Caenorhabditis elegans: one gene and its partner. The protein of the gene in region 2 binds, or shares a complex with, the protein of the main gene of each other region. Each region holds a gene or a part of one and is shown on either strand. Other genes may lie near its edges.

Region 1 (7,908 bases), on a different chromosome or scaffold from region 2:
AACAGATGCTAGTTTGAAAAAGTATTTTATCAAGCACCTTATGCATTTTATTATTCGGTTTTCTGTAGGGAAGCAAGACGACTCGCTGAAATTTGGTGGGCAAAAAATTTGAGATTTTTTCCGCAAACCATGTACGTGCTGCAGAAACTTGATCAGAAAAATCCAGATGGGTTTAATTACACTGATTTTGAGGAAGAGGTTCAGGTAATAATTTAATCTTATTGTTAAACAAGGGAGAAATTTAGTACGTTTAGAAAGTGATCCCAAGGTCCTGGATACAGAACCATCATTCATTTACACTCTTGTCGCTGTTGAATGAAGAGAGCCTTTACGTGAAGTTCAACTTGATAATGCCCTCGGATTCTGAGAATATGAACAGAGTAAGCTATTATATTTTGATTGGTCAAGAAAGTAAATCAATATTTTTAAGGTGAAGGTCAACCAAGTAATTAAATTTCTCGGTTTCCATGAAATTGGAGACTGTGAGTTTTCTATGATCTATCAATATGTTAGTTCAAAGTCCGCTTCAGAATCTACATACAGCATCCACAAAGTGAGAGTTTTTTTAGTGGATTTCTTTTCAACTTCGAATTTTCAGTTCATGTGTGAAGACTTTCCGGGATGGGAGACACAATACAATAACGAAAAGAAAAGCATGGATAGGATCTTTGAGATAATTATTCAGGAGCAAAAAGTAAGAATGATTGAACATATATGAGAAAACATTTCAATGTTTTTCAGTTATTTTGGACGGAATATGATTATCATACATACAAACGCCATGCATACAAGATTGCTGTCCCGATGGTCTTCTCGCTTAACATTGTAGACAAAGCTGTTGGAGTTCGAAGTGATGCTCGCTAGCTAGTTAATGATAGCCCTGTCTTTCCCGTTCAACTCGATCTCTTTGAAAAAAATTCATTAAATCACATCAGAATCGCTCGAAAAAAAAATTTGAAGCTTTCAAGACAATCCCCAAAAAAGCATGCTCAAATCGTTATTTTGGAATCTTCAAATTTTCGGAGCATTTTTTCTTATTACGATGTTTTTTTCCTTAGCCAAATCTGTTTGTATGTATTTATCAGTTCCCGTTGATTTAATGTTTAGTTGGTAGAAATAAATATGAATAAAGTTTTAAGTTTCAATGTTTCGCAGTTGAAGAATTCGTAGAATCCACAATCCATCCTCCAAAATCGGGAGTTATTTTGTCAATGGCCAGTGTGAAGAAGCACGGAGTTTCAGCCGGATGAAGAGATCGAACACGCTGAAATTGAATGAAAATCTTAGTGATCCGAAATAAAAACATACAGCTGATAGCTCTTCGACTTTGCTTTCTACAGTTTTCAAGATCACGACATGCTCTTGATCTTCTTCAATTTTTCCTTGCCATTTGTATCTGAATATCTGGATTCTCGCACAGATTTAAAAAAGATAAAATACTTACACAGATGTGACTTCCGGAATAACATTGGCGCAAGCGGCTAATGCTTCAGTGACAGTTGTTCTGAAATGAAATTATGTTTTGGTAGACAGAAAACAAAAAAATACCTTGCCACAGTCATTGCAACTTCCTTACTCGGAGCTGTCACATACGCGACAACCATTTTTACAGCGGGTGTTGTCATTTTTATTTGAAAACTTATTTTATGTTGAAGCAATTCAGAAATGTTTAATTAATTACCGTACTTCATTCTAGCTCTCGTCGTATAATTAAATGTATGGGTCGCACTTGCGCGTCACGGTGTTTGCACACACTTGTATGCGCGCCAAAATTTTGTTCGAATTTCACCGCCAATAATTGTTTAGCCGCTGCTGTCCCACTTTTTGTTTTTGTTGGGAAATGTCTTTTTCATATTAAGCACTCAAATCCTAAAAATCAACGTATTTTAGGGTTGATGCCTCCGAAGACTTCGGCGGCGCCGCCACAATCAGACGAATCTGATTCTGATTTTGATGACGCTCCTGTTAAAAAGCCGCAGAAAAAGACAACGAAGCCTGTGAACCGACACAAGGAAGGATCAAAGGACCCGGAAGAAGAACTACAGGTATCCCTCTCAGAATATTTAAAAGCAGCAATAAAACTGAAATTTTTATTCAGAGAGCGGTAAATGAAAAATTTGATGGAAGCGACGGAGAGGACGACGACAGTGATCTTTTCTCATTGGTATGTTACTCTGTTTTTAATATTAAAGTCATTACATTTTACAGCAACTGCCATCGCGACCCGATTTCCTTACAAAACCGAATCGGGCGGATCGTTTGATGATTCGCAATGTTGAAGTGGACAATTTCAAGAGTTACTTCGGCAAGGCTTCCATTGGACCATTTCACAAAAGTTTCACATCAATTATCGGTCCAAATGGATCTGGAAAGTCTAATTTAATCGATTCGCTCTTATTCGTTTTCGGTTTCCGTGCTTCCAAAATTCGTTCTGCAAAAGTGTCAAATTTGATTCACAAAAGTGCTGGAAGAAATCCAGACAAATGCACAGTCACTATTCATTTTCAGCGGATCGTCGATATTGTAAGTGAATCAGAGAATCTAATAAAATATAAATTTGCTTTTTTTCAGCCTGGGCATTACGAAGTCGTCAAGGATTCTGAGTTCACAATCTCTAGAACTGCTTTTCAAAATAACTCAAGCTCATATGCTATCGATGGTCGACCGGCAACGAAGAATGAAGTTGAAGCACGCCTACGACGCGTTGACATTGATATTGAGCATAATCGTTTTCTAATTCTTCAGGTAAAAGTGACAATAAAACCGGTAATAAACATTTTTTTCAGGGAGAAGTCGAACAAATTGCAATGATGAAACCAGTGAAAACCACCAAAAGTGAAACTGGAATGGTTGAATATTTGGAGGATATTATCGGAACAAACCGACTCGAGCCCTTTGTTAAATTATTCCAGCGACGCGTCAATCGTCTTACTTGTGATCTTTCTCAACAAAGAATCGCTCGTGATCACGCCAGAAACAGCAAAGTAGCTATGGAGAATCCAGTTAGAGCTGCAATTGAGTTTCTGATGAAAGAAAACGAGGCTACAACGATTCATATGAAATTGGAGCAAAGAAGACGGTAGTTCTGAAATATTCCAGGTTAAAATAACATTTAACGTTTTAAGGCAACGATACCTAGATAAAATTGCTCCAAAACAAGCCGAACTTGACAAGATGAAAGAAGAAATGAAATCGATTGCTGAAACGCTGGATACCAACAAAAACGAATACAAACAATCTGAGGAAGCTCAGAAAGTTATGATTGAAGAGCGTTCGAAACTCGACAAAAACTTTGATAGTCTATCTAAGGAATTGAGCGACTTGGGCACTGAAGAGACTCGCAGGAAGGAGGCTTTGAAAAGGCATCAAGCTAATATTTCAAAGGCGGAAGCTGAGAAGGAAAAAGAGGTTAAAAAGCGATCAAATCTGGAAGCAGCACCCGAAAAGGCGGAGAGAAAAATCGCAAAATGTCAGGAAGAAGTGGAACAGTTGCTTGAAATAGAGAAAACAGCTAACGAGGAAGCCGACAAGAATCTTGATGAATTTGAAAAACGCTCTGAAGCGCCAAAAGAAGAACAAAAGAAGATTCAAGAGACTTGGGCGCAGAAGAGCAACGAATTTAACAAAGTTCGAGGTGAAGCAAGGATTGCACGGGAAGATTTCGAGGATTTAAAGAAGCTCGCGAATTCTGGAACGGATAAGCTTATCGAACTGAAGAAACGATTAGAATCTTCAGAAGAAAGTTATGCGAAAGAGAAGGATGAGTTAGATAAGCTGAAGCCGGAATTTGATTCTTGGAATGATAAGTTAAAACAACTGAGTACAGAATTGCCAACTCTTCGAAATACGGCAAGACAGAAGAATCAAGATGTAGGTTTTCAAAAAGCCTGATAAATTTAAATAAATCCTATTTTACAGTTGGCAAAAACGCGTGATCGTCTCGAAACTCTTCGCCAGCAAAACTCGTCTTGCTCAAGTTCGAATAAAGTTATTCAAGCCTTAATGAAGGAAAAAGAAGCTGGAAGAATTAAAAGTTTTCACGGTCGTCTTGGTGATCTCGGTGTCATTGATCCGAAATATGAGGGAGCGATTTGCACAAATTTCGGGGCCCGTCTCAACTATCTTATTGTAGGGAAAGAAGAAGATGCAAAAAATGTCATCAATTTTTTAGTTGCTGTAAGTTTTATAACCCTCATTTTCTAGGAATACATTGGTTTTCAGAATAAATTACCTCGACAAACTGTTCAGCCATTGGACAAAATTAAGTGTGATAAGAGAGATTTAGCTCCCAATCCGACGAACCCATTACCTGCTCCTCGTCTTATTGATCTGATTGATTGTGATCCTGTTCTTAAACCAGCATTCTATGATATGGTGCGTAGTGCAATTGTGGGCGATTCTACCCAGGAAGCTCAGCGAATGCATAGAATGCCCGCTTGTCGTGGTGTTACCGTGTGCACACTAGAAGGTTCTATGATTCACCCATCTGGATCATTCACAGGAGGTGGAAAAACAGTGAAAGGTCTCATTCTCACGGATAAAAATAAGATGGCTAAACAAGTGACACCTGAAGATAAAGCCGCTGAACGAGATTTAGCTGAAAAACTTGGAAAATTGAGAGATGAAGCTGATGAACTTAAAGGACAAGAGCATGAAGTAAGATATTAAAGGATAAAAATATAAAATATAACAAACCGATTTTTAGATGGACGGACAGCTAATCGAAGCACGTCGCAAAGTCGCTGAAATGAGTAATCGTTTGTCTATTGTGACTTCTTCAGTTCAATCTGCAGCTCCAGCAATTGAAACCCTCAAGAAAACGATCGCAAATCAAGAAAAAGAAGCAGCGAAAGTTAAGGTGGATGCGAAGACATTAGAAGATAAACAGAAGATTGTTGAGGAGCTCGAAAAAAGTAATTTTCCGTCATATCATCATGATTTGGGTAATATATTTCATTTCAGAACGAGATGAGTTGGGCGAAGAAGCTGCGAAAGTAAAAGCTCGTCAAGCTGAAATTCAGAGTAAGCTTGACGGAATCTTCAAGGAACTTGTACAATGTCATCGAGACGAAGCCAAAGAGTCTCTTCAGAAACGTCAAAAACTTGAGAAGGATATCGCCAAAGAAACTGCAAATATTTCCAATTCGGGCAGAAACATTGCAAAGTGCGATGAGAACATTTCCAGACACGATAAAGACATTGAGAAGATGAAGAAAAAGTGCGAAGAATTGATGGAGAAAGCAATCGATGATGAGGAAGTGAAATCGAAGAAAGAAACGGTTGAGCGCTTTGAAAAGCAAATCAAGAAGTTACAGACAAAAGGAGAGGAAATGACGAAGAAACAATCGGAATTGTCAGCTGCAGAGACGAAATTGGAGGGAGAATTGAAAAAGTGCAGTGAGGGAATAAAGGAGTTGAAGGAAAGTATGTTGGCAGATCGATTAAAGGTTGAGGATATTGAAAAGAAGGTTTGTTATTAATAAAAATCTATTAAATTAAATGTTCTTTTTTTACAGCTCGCTGCTTTGAAAGTTAATCGAATCCCACGATTCCAATTTCTCATCGAATCAAGTCGGCCAGAAGATCTCGAAATGCAAATCGATGATAAAATGCCGGTGGTTGATGAAAATCAGAGTCCAGAAGAAGTTGAACGACAAAAGAAGCATATGGCCTGCGTGATGAGTGACGCCGCGTACGCTCTCGAGTTCGAAATGCGACAGAAAGTGTTGGAAAACACTGAATCGTATGAGAATGTCGACGGAGAGGACCGGGTACCGGTCGAGCTTCTGTCCGACGAGAAAATCAACGAGATTTCGAGCCGAGACGCTGAAGAAATGCAAATGAAGCTGAAAGTGTGTGAACAACAAGTGGAAGCATTGAAAGCTAAAGTTGATATCTCATCGATTAAAGCTTATGTTGATAAGGTCAAGCAATACAATGAACAAGTGATCAAGTTGACAATAGCCACAGAAGTACATCGAAAACATAATCAAGAACTTCAACGAATCAAGCAGATGCGACTTGAAGAATTCCATGTAAGAAATCAGACGTTGATAGGTTTCTGATTAATTTTTAAAAAATATTTCAGTCTGCATTCGAATTCATTGGAAAACATTTGGTTGCCGTTTTCAAAATGCTAACTGACGGAGGAGATGCCAAATTGGAATACATTGATAAAGACGATCCATTCCGACAAGGAATCAGTTTTATGGTTCGCCCAGCGAAGAAAGCTTGGAAGCAAATTCAATTCCTTTCGGGTGGAGAGAAGACATTGTCCTCATTGGCTCTCATTTTTGCGCTCCACATGTTCAGGTACTAAATACTTTCTTTAATAATTATTATAATCCCTCGTTTAGACCTACTCCATTCTACGTTATGGACGAAATCGATGCTGCTCTCGACTATCGTAACGTTTCGATTATTGCCCAATACGTCCGACAAAAGACTGAAAACGCGCAGTTTATTATTATTTCTTTGAGAAATAATATGTTTGAACTCGCCAATCGTCTCGTTGGTATCTATAAAGTTGATGGGTGTACTCGTAATGTAGCCATTGATCCATTGAGAGTTTGTGAGATGGCGAAGCAAATTACGGACAGTTTGGGGCAGGCCACGTGTACTCTTCCTGATGAAGTAACTCAACGATTCAATGAGACAATGAGTCGGCAGAATAAGGAAATGATTGCACAAGAAAAACAATATCCGAACTTCCCATCATCAAATGAGATTTCAAAGGCCGAAAAGATTGTTAACGTTGAAGGACGTGTCAGGAAAGAATTGATTCAAACTACCCGAGATGTCACTTCAAGACCACAATCCAAAGCAACGACAAGTGGCGATGGAACTGAAAGACCGGCTAGTCGGTCAGCAAGTCGACCCGAATCTCGTATAAATCGTAAGACCAATGGCGTATTTATTATGAAAATGAAACAACTTATTTTTAGAAATGAAATATCCTGCTCCACGCCTTGTCGAAAGATCGTCGTCACAGAATGTTCGTAGCCCGAGAAAGGCACGAAACATAGAGGCCGATGAGGTTAGTTTCATTAAAAAATTTGAGACTCATTTTATTTCCCATTTTCAGACTACTCCACCTTCAAAGCGTTCAAATTCCGCAAGTACACCAAAACGATCTCCAATGAAACCGTTGACACCGTCGAGTAAAAAGAAGGAGAAGGCAATCGTTGATGACGATGATGATATGGAATAATTCATTCAAAAAAGTTCTATCCTCTTTTGTTTTGACGGGTATTAGTTCTCTGATCCCTCGACTCTTCCGTTTATTATTATTTTAAACTCGCGCAAATGATACTCATGTGCAATTCTTTAACCTCTCCCTGTTCAAGAAATCTCTCCCTTTTCCTTTTTATTTATTCTTATTCTCAATTATATTTAATTTGAGGGCCAAAGTTTGAGCCATTTTGCGTTGTATTTTTTTTTCGGCTCCAAACTGTAATTTAATGATATAATTGAGCTATGTGTCTTTTCGTTTGAAATAAGAACGTTTATCGGTGAAGCGTTGACTAGTATATCCCTCATGGTTAATCTGATTCAGATTTCCATTTTCACTATTTATTTTGTGGATTTTCACTGTAACTCGTGTTATGCATGTAATTTCAGATATGTCTACTTCTTCACATACCGTACTTCTGATTCAAACATCACCACGTCTTGATTCACGGACTTGGGGAGATTATGAGAGTGTAACTGACGCTCTTGATGGTAACCATTCCGTGAGAATTATTATGTTTAATGGAATTTTTCAGCTCTTTGCAAGATGTTTGAAGATTTCCTTTCCAAGAAATCAGCTGCTCCAGTCACATACGACGTGTCGCAAGTCTACGAGTTTCTCGATAAGCTCTCCGATGTTTCTATGATGATCTTCAATCGCGTATGTATTATTGATCT
Region 2 (7,970 bases):
TCTAGAAAATTTCGAAAAAAATTGAATTCCGAAAAAGCAGCCTACATTTTAAAATCTTTTTCGTTATAGAAGAAAACTTAACGGTTTCTTGTAATTTTTCTCAAAAAAAAACACAAAATTTGATAAAAATGTTGACATTTTTTGTTAATTTAAATTGACAAAAAATTAATTTTCGATTTCTAATTTTTTTCCCGAAAAATCAAAAATGTTTTCAATTTATTTATCATTGATTTTCTAAAGTTTTTCTCTCATTTCGTTGAGCTCGCGGTTACGGTACCCTTTAAAGGCGCAGACCCTTTCGCATTTAGACAAAAATTGTCGTTTCGAGACCGGGTACTGTATTTTTTGCGCGAAAATCGCAAAATTTCGCGCCTGGGTAATAAACGAAAGTTGAATTTATATTTTTCAATCTAATTTCCAAAGAACCTTATCATATCTCCACTCGAATCTTGAAAGAACCGAATTTCCACATCCACGTCCCGTTTTTCGATTCACATAATTTCTGGGTCCCTTCAGAGCCGCCGTGCTAGTGGTAATCCATCGGATCCCGTTTCTATACATCTGAATTCGTAATTTTTATGGAATCAGTGAATGCTTTTTCGGAAGAATCAGAAAGGGTCTTTGTATCCCTAGAATTCTACAAGTTTTATGGCTCGAATATCATATTGAATATTCATTGTAAAGAGTGATTTGACAGAAAACTTAAAATTTTTGGTGTCGGGGTACTCAATTCAGAGAGAGAAAAATAAATAAAGAAACTTCGAGTTTCGAGAAATGAGAGATAAAATGAATAAATACATCGAATTGGGTGGATTCTGAGATTCAATTTTGATACCGAAAATAAATGATTTTTTATGGAGAAATTTAATAAAGTATGCTTATTCTTCCATTTCTTCTTCTTCTACGATTGCTCCGAGATCACTTGTTGTAGGTTGACCACCTGCTCCACGACCTTTACGAACTGGTACTGCCTTCGGACGTCGCATCAAATTCGAGAACACATTATTCGCATCGCTAGCCGTACCCTCGATGGCGTCCGGATCTTGAGTTCGTTTCCAGAACTCGTCTTGATCCTCGATTCTTCCCATTTTCAGACCACGTGGTAGGCTTTCACTTGAATTGAGAACAATGAAATCAGACATCCAGGATCGCTTTGATCGATCTTGAACAATTTGCAAGTTCTGAAAATTTAGAATGAGTTTGAAAAAATAAACTCAAAAAAACTAAACATACATTTTCATTGGCAATATGCAATAGGAAGCTGACGATAGACGAGGGCCTAACAGTCTCTCCCATTCTGGAAGGCATTGAAAGTGCCAACGAAAGAAGTGTATGGCATCCATTTATATGCACTTTTCTATTTTCAGTGTTAGCAGTTCCATATGTAGATGTAGTTGGTTGATTATTGGGACGCTCATCTGCTGCTTGATAATCTGGCATCTCTGTTAGTGCCTTCATCGTTTCGTTCACATCGTGATTCGATTTGTTCGGTGATCTATAGTCAAACACTGACGTCAACGTTTTGTCGGCCTCCATTGTCGGTGTTGCAGGTCTTCCGGTTTCATTACGATCATCGGCAGCTCGGATAGTTGTATTATTCATTCGTAGAGTCTGATTAGATGTCAACTGCTCCAGAACATATTGAATTGAAGGCATCGATAGACTATCAGTCTTCAGAATTTCAGCGAGACACTTCTTGTGCTTGGCGGCGTCAAGATTCTTTGCCTGGATCGACTGGCGATCGAATGACTGAAAATTATACAAACTTTTTTAATATAAATTTTTTGTTAAACTTACATCGTCAAATTCATCATCTGAATCTCCGTATTCACCACCGTATCGTTTGGAATGGATATTCGGGAACATTTGATTAATGTGACTTGCGGTCAAGGCTAGTTTCCTCTGAAAATGTTCAATGAGCACTGGAAAAAATATTCCGTCTTAATTTTACCTGCATATCCGGACCCATTTGTGCAGCAGCGAGTTGTTGTTCATAGTTTGGATCGTATCTGTCTTCGTCCTGTAATTAGATGCCGAATTATTTTGTAGTTTTCTCTCCGAAAATACGGTATCAAGGTCTCGAAAAGACGCATTTTTTGCAAAATTTTTGTTGATTTTTCAATAAATAAAATTTATTTATTAAAATCTGTAAATACACTAAAAAGGAATTGTTTTCTCGTGCTTTATTTCAATTTTTAATTAAAAAATCTGTTTTATAGAAAAATCACCGAAAACATCGCATCAACGATAGTCTAAAACTACAGTACTCTTTAAAGGCGCACACTCGGCTTCATTATAAAAAATTGTCGTGTCGAGACCGGGTACTGTATTTTTTGTTCTAAAGTCGCAACATTTCGCGTCTGAGCTATTTAACGGTATCGATCGTCGAAAACTTTTGGACTTTTGAACGAGCTTTTTTTAACTGGAAAAATCAACAACGAAAATTTTTCGATTCTCGATTATTCAGAAAACCGACAGGAAAACCGGCAGGTCTTAACAGAAACGTACGTAATAATCGTTGGCAAAATCGTCATCAAACGGTTGCTCTACGGCAGTTCGTAGATTCTCGTCCGAGTCAGAGCCAGTGATAGGCTCCGGATTTCTGAAAAATTAACAATTTTATATATATTTAATCCTAGACACTCACTCCATGCACCTGAATCCACTGAATGAAAGTAGCCAATTGAGACAATCCGAATCCTTGTTTCCTCTGGCTTCATCAATGAACAAATCTTGCTCAGCCTTTTGATTTTTGACACGTTCGAGTCGTATTTTCCCATATGATTTCTTGAAGAACATCCCGCTGTTACCGAGAAGACCCATTTCAAAAGCGACATGCGGCTTGTTTTCAATTCCCAAAGTTGGAAGATATAACTGTTGTTCCGAAAGGAAAGTGCTCTTCTCATCAGCAATTTTAGAGCATTTTGCAGCAGTAATTTCTCGTTCAATCTCGTCATCAGGAATGTCACGGAAGTAATGAACGAAATCTTCGACAGTGGCTTTTCTGCTCTTCGCTTTCTTTTCTCGCCGTTTCCGTTGTGCTGTAACCGCTGCTTGTCTCTCTTGATCACCAACGACTGGTGGAACCCAATGAGCATTGTCGTTCTTTCCGATATTTTGAATCTCTTCACGCATTTCTGCAGATGGTCCAACAAGTTGTGGCGGTGGTGCAGAAGTCATCAACTCTGCAACTTCATCGGCTGCAAGTGCAATGTCCTCAAGCTCCCGTTGAACATCTTGCTCATTTCGTTCTTCTACTTCAGTTCTGAAATTGAAAAAAAATGTGGATAGTCTTTTCAAAAATGTTGAATCTAGCGTTTTTCAAAGGTAAAATTATAAAAAAGCAAAGAGTATCCAATTAATATTGCCGGAAACTCAAAATGTCGAAAATAGGGGAAGCGCGGGAATTCAGAAAAGATTTAACTTTTTTTGCAAAATTGTTGAAGAAATCTCAAAATAGTTGTGGTTATTCATTACTCATGTGATGTAGAAAATTTTTTAAAAAATGTATTTTTATACATTTTCCCCCCTATTCGTCTAGTTTTTGTATTTTTTTGCATTTTTCGACACTCATGAATAGGTGAGAATGGATAAAAATAAATTTTTGCATTTATCTACATTAAATGAATAACGGTTTTTTTTGCTATATTGAAACGTTCTTCTGTCATTATAGGCAACAAAAAACCGAACAGAATCAACTTTCAATTCAAAATTGAAACTTACTCATCCATCTGCTCATTAAAAAGAATATCAGCCACCCTTCCATCATTTCTATTATTATCTCCTTCCATTTCCTCAACTTCAACCGGAGCTGCAAGTCGATCATCAAAGTCTACATCAAAAGCAGCACCGCCGGCATCGTAATCCATTTCCTCAATAGGCTCCATATCAACATCTTGTTGTTGCACTTGTTCCCGTATTTCTTGTTGAATTTGTTCTAACGGAACATCATCTTCAGCTGTACTATCCTCACCAGACCACATTTTCATCACATCAGACACTTCATCATTCACTGTGAAGTCTGCTGGACGATCTCCAGGATAGTTATTCATATAATCATCCGATTTCACCAAGAACAAATTCTTTCCAATTTCCGGAACCATATTTCTATACGATTCTTGCTCGTCAATCGCATTTTCATCCAATTGAGAACGAGCTTCTCGATTTACATTCATTTTTACAACATCATAGTTGGTCCATGCATCAGTTGCCTTAATCCAACCTTCGATTCCAGCCTGACGTGGATGTTTCGTGTCATTCTTCATAATTGCCTCATCATCTTCACCCCATTCTTCTGCACGTATTCCATTTTTCCAGACTTTTGATTCAAGTGTATCAGATGTGTTGAACACTTCCAGCTTCTTATCAAACATGTTGGCTAATGTTTGATCCATTTCATTCGGCTCAATTGGCAGTTTTCCAATGAGATGCTCATCGAGATCATTCTGGAAAATAATTTATATCATAAATGTATTCAGAGGCGCGCAAAAAAACTTACAGCTTCAAGAGGTGGAAGAACATATTCGTCACTCGCTTTCTGTGACACAGACGACTGAAGAGGAGGTGTAAGCCTATCTAGAGCGATCGTCTCATCGTTTTCTCCCTGGGCGAGTGGTAATCCTTGATTTCCTGGAAGCATTGACATATCCGATGCTCCTGCCACCGTCATATCCAGATTTGAAGGCCGATGATTCATCTCTGCGAATGTCAAGTTGGCGAGATCTTTCTCACGAGACGATTCCGCCAATGGTAGCGTTGACTTCTTCACATCCTTTGACATTATTTTGTATCTCCCAATAACTGGGCGATCTTTGACTTCGAGCATCAAGTAGTTGTCGAGAATTCGTGGCTTTTTGTCTAATGAATTGGTGAGGAGAGCTCGTGTATTTTTTACAAGTGAGACAGACACATCGGACGTGAAAAACCGATCATCAGCATTCTTATCGGCAATTCGATTATGCAACATAAGAGTTCGTCCATCGGGAGAATGAATTCCATAATAATTAAGAGAATGGAACGAGTTTGATGAATTGCACACGGATCCTTTCGTTGCCTTTTGAAATGTCGGGTTAGCTCTCAGCCAATCGATATTTGCGTCTTTCAGATCATGAGCCGTATCATCAGCACTTATGTAATTGGAAACATCAGAGAGAAGGTCAGCTCTGAGATCAGTTGCTCGTTTGATTGACAATGCATAAATGAGTTTTTCGGGGAAAATGTCTCTTTGAAGAAATGCGTCAACATCTTTGGAATTGGCTTTGAAATCAATTCGTGGCTCTCCGGCAATATTTTCCTCATCTTCTTTCCAATTCTTATCATTGTCTGCGTCAAGTTCGGTGGTTGTCAGAGCATCATCCATATTATTGAGAAAATCGAGCATTCCATTCATTCCGTCAACAACAGCCATTTTCTTTTTAGCTTTTCTGCTTTCCAGTGTTAAATGAATTTCTTCACCATTTGAATCTCGCATAACAGTTCCTGTAATAAAAAGAAACGATAAATTCCAAGAATATTAAAAAAAAAATGTAATTACCACTCGAGAGAGCTGAATCAATTTGTCGAACGTCGTGGTGAAGCCGATCGACTCGATAACCAATAATGCACTGAGCTCCTTCGAGCACAACTGCCATCTCTTGGATTGAAGCTTTTGCTTTGATCATATCTTCGATTGTATGAATTTCAAGCGGCGATTTATATTCGAAACAGTTGAGCTCTCCAACTTTTTTCTTATTCACAATATCGTCGATATGGGCGCCAATTTTTGTCATAATTGTTTCTGGCACCACATCCGCTGGCCTAATTTTTTTAGTTCCTCGAACTTTACGCAATGGGGTAGATCTGAAGCCATCATCTTCGTCATCATCTAGAACTTGTCTCTGAAAACATTACGTTTTTGGTAGAAGCAGAACATTCTTCTTTTTTTACTTTTCTGCGTCCAGTGACGTTGCTGGATGATGGTACATCCATTTCCCTGTAATTAAAACACAATTTTAGATAATAGAAAGCAGGAGAAAATAAAATATATTCAAACAAGAAGCACAATTCAATTCAAAAGTCCTCGTTGCTAAACAAAGGGTCGAAGGGAGACCGGAGTTTCGTAATGATGTTTAGTCGTCTGCGACTCTTGTCTCTCGTTGTCAACGCGGGAACGAGGCAGTTCGCACACTGAGAATCCAAAGAGAATGTAAAAAATTCACAAATTGATTGAAATTGTTATGAAGTAAATATATATTTAAAAAGAAAGTTTTTCTGATGCCTTCGACCGATCGATAAAGCTACAGTTCAATTAAAGGGACACATACAGAAAATATCTGTTCGTGGCGAGACCCTACAGTAATAAAAATATTCGCGAATGAAGATTTATGCTTTTGTGCGAATTTAATTCTCAATTGTTTACTTATGAGCGGAGTATTATCTCTCTCAAGAACAAAATCCGCTAGCAGATGATTAGCACAAATTCTATTCATCTGAAAACCGATTGTGCCCTTCTGAAAGCTTGTTGTTTGCTCAATGATATATTTTCGTCTCTATCTCTTTGTTGCCATGACACTTTGATGAGTATTCGTGTGAAACTCATTTTTTGGAATCAAGTCGACGCAATCAATAATGTTGTTGATGAAGGCGTCTTAATTCCAAAAGAATGAGGTTGAAAATTGAATATAAAAAAAATAAACATAAATTAAAAGATATTCCAGTATTACGTTGTGACGAGTAAGAGTTTGTAAAACATGAATAGAAATTTCAAATGAACACGATTTCATTATAAAGGCATGAAACATTCTAGAAGAACTACAAACAATTTTCACCGGTATGTTGAGGGGGGAAAGCTCACAAGTAAGCAGTGGGCTATTCCACTGGATCAGAATTTAATTATATTCTATAAAACATGAAGTTCTAAAATACATACGAAAAAATGCACACACTATTTGTGCGTTTGTGGATTAAATCCGTAATTGTTTAATTATTGAATATGACTAGGTCCTGGAAGACATTCAGATTCTGGATAATCGTCGTACTTGCAAACATCAATAAGTTCCTCAACCTTCTCTTCTGTAAATTCTCGAGCAGTGTGAAGACTCTCTTGACTTGAAGATGATGTTCTCGGCTGATATTTGACACTGTGCTCCTCGGCCAAAGTTGATTGAATATCGTTAAACATTTCGTCATGTTTCCGCTGTTGGTAAGCGTTTCGTTCAATCGATTGAACACGATGAACAACGACAGGTGGAATTCCGAGAGCGAATGCAGTACGAGTGAGCATGTTGGCAGTGGTGGGAGTGACAGGATTATCCATAACGGATTGTTTCAGATTGATTGCACTGACAATGATGTCGTCGCAGAAATGACCGATAACACCGGTTTGTTGCATTTGAGACCAGAAATTCATAGGATCTGAAATAAAAATAAATTAGTGATAAATGTTATGTCAAATAGCTTACCGTTCTGCAGACAATTGAGAATATCATTGAATGGCGTGCACTCATTGGATTCCTTATTTGAAGAAGTTGGCTCTTCATTAGATGACATTGATTGCAGTGGTGGCGCATCAATGAAGAACTCCTCGAAGAAACGATCGTCTTGTGGCTCCATTTTGACCATTTGTCTGGGCTTGTTGACACTTCCACGTGGACGTCCACGAGCTTTTTTGGCGCCTGAAAAATGATATGTTTCCAGAATACTGGTAGTTATACAAAAGGAGCTAGTTTTAGAATGTTCTAGCAATATAGAATAATGTTTCCTTTATCTGAAAAAACTTATATTTAAGTTGGAATAGTTGAAAAGATGCTCACAAATCTCAAACTTTGAGACAATATTTGAGCACTTTTCCGATTGTTCCAACTAAAATATAAGTTATTTTTAGACATAACAAATATTATTCCTAAATTTTAATGAAAAATATTGAGAGAACATGTCAAAACTAGATCCTTTTGTAGAATTATCGGTCGTACTCTTTCTATTATCATCATTAT

Evidence for each region. Proteins that work in one complex are often made in the same cells at the same time.
Region 1: dpy-26 (region 2) and smc-4 share a complex: the UniProt entries of both Caenorhabditis elegans proteins name them as parts of the condensin I complex.

Annotation. Positions count from the first base shown.
Region 1 is NC_003281.10:4,585,611-4,593,518, forward strand, and holds smc-4 (Structural maintenance of chromosomes protein 4), read left to right. Parts: upstream 1-1,890; 5' UTR 1,891-1,895; coding exon 1,896-2,045; intron 2,046-2,098; coding exon 2,099-2,164; intron 2,165-2,208; coding exon 2,209-2,523; intron 2,524-2,571; coding exon 2,572-2,745; intron 2,746-2,786; coding exon 2,787-3,079; intron 3,080-3,125; coding exon 3,126-3,870; intron 3,871-3,918; coding exon 3,919-4,176; intron 4,177-4,221; coding exon 4,222-4,656; intron 4,657-4,705; coding exon 4,706-4,913; intron 4,914-4,962; coding exon 4,963-5,468; intron 5,469-5,516; coding exon 5,517-6,035; intron 6,036-6,088; coding exon 6,089-6,312; intron 6,313-6,356; coding exon 6,357-6,895; intron 6,896-6,944; coding exon 6,945-7,036; intron 7,037-7,084; coding exon 7,085-7,210; 3' UTR 7,211-7,514; downstream 7,515-7,908. Other genes in the region: F35G12.5 (SPK domain-containing protein), read left to right, coding at 1-21, 69-204, 255-380, 431-553, 599-694, 742-864; F35G12.7 (Divalent-cation tolerance protein CutA), read right to left, coding at 1,142-1,264, 1,309-1,396, 1,445-1,504, 1,549-1,625; erh-2 (Enhancer of rudimentary homolog 2), read left to right, coding at 7,623-7,722, 7,767-7,891. UniProt on the Caenorhabditis elegans protein: Central component of the condensin I complex, a complex required for conversion of interphase chromatin into mitotic-like condense chromosomes. The condensin I complex introduces positive supercoils into relaxed DNA in the presence of type I topoisomerases.
Region 2 is NC_003282.8:12,445,324-12,453,293, forward strand, and holds dpy-26 (Condensin complex subunit dpy-26), read right to left. Parts: upstream 6,013-7,970; 5' UTR 5,968-6,012; coding exon 5,926-5,967; intron 5,877-5,925; coding exon 5,534-5,876; intron 5,479-5,533; coding exon 4,499-5,478; intron 4,446-4,498; coding exon 3,724-4,445; intron 3,266-3,723; coding exon 2,648-3,265; intron 2,603-2,647; coding exon 2,509-2,602; intron 2,021-2,508; coding exon 1,952-2,020; intron 1,903-1,951; coding exon 1,798-1,902; intron 1,750-1,797; coding exon 1,234-1,749; intron 1,182-1,233; coding exon 879-1,181; 3' UTR 562-878; downstream 1-561. Other genes in the region: C25G4.3 (Ribosome-binding factor A), read right to left, coding at 427-561; Transcription regulator spe-44, read right to left, coding at 6,962-7,392, 7,440-7,652, 7,950-7,970. UniProt on the Caenorhabditis elegans protein: Required for both chromosome condensation and segregation and for X-chromosome dosage compensation depending on its binding partners.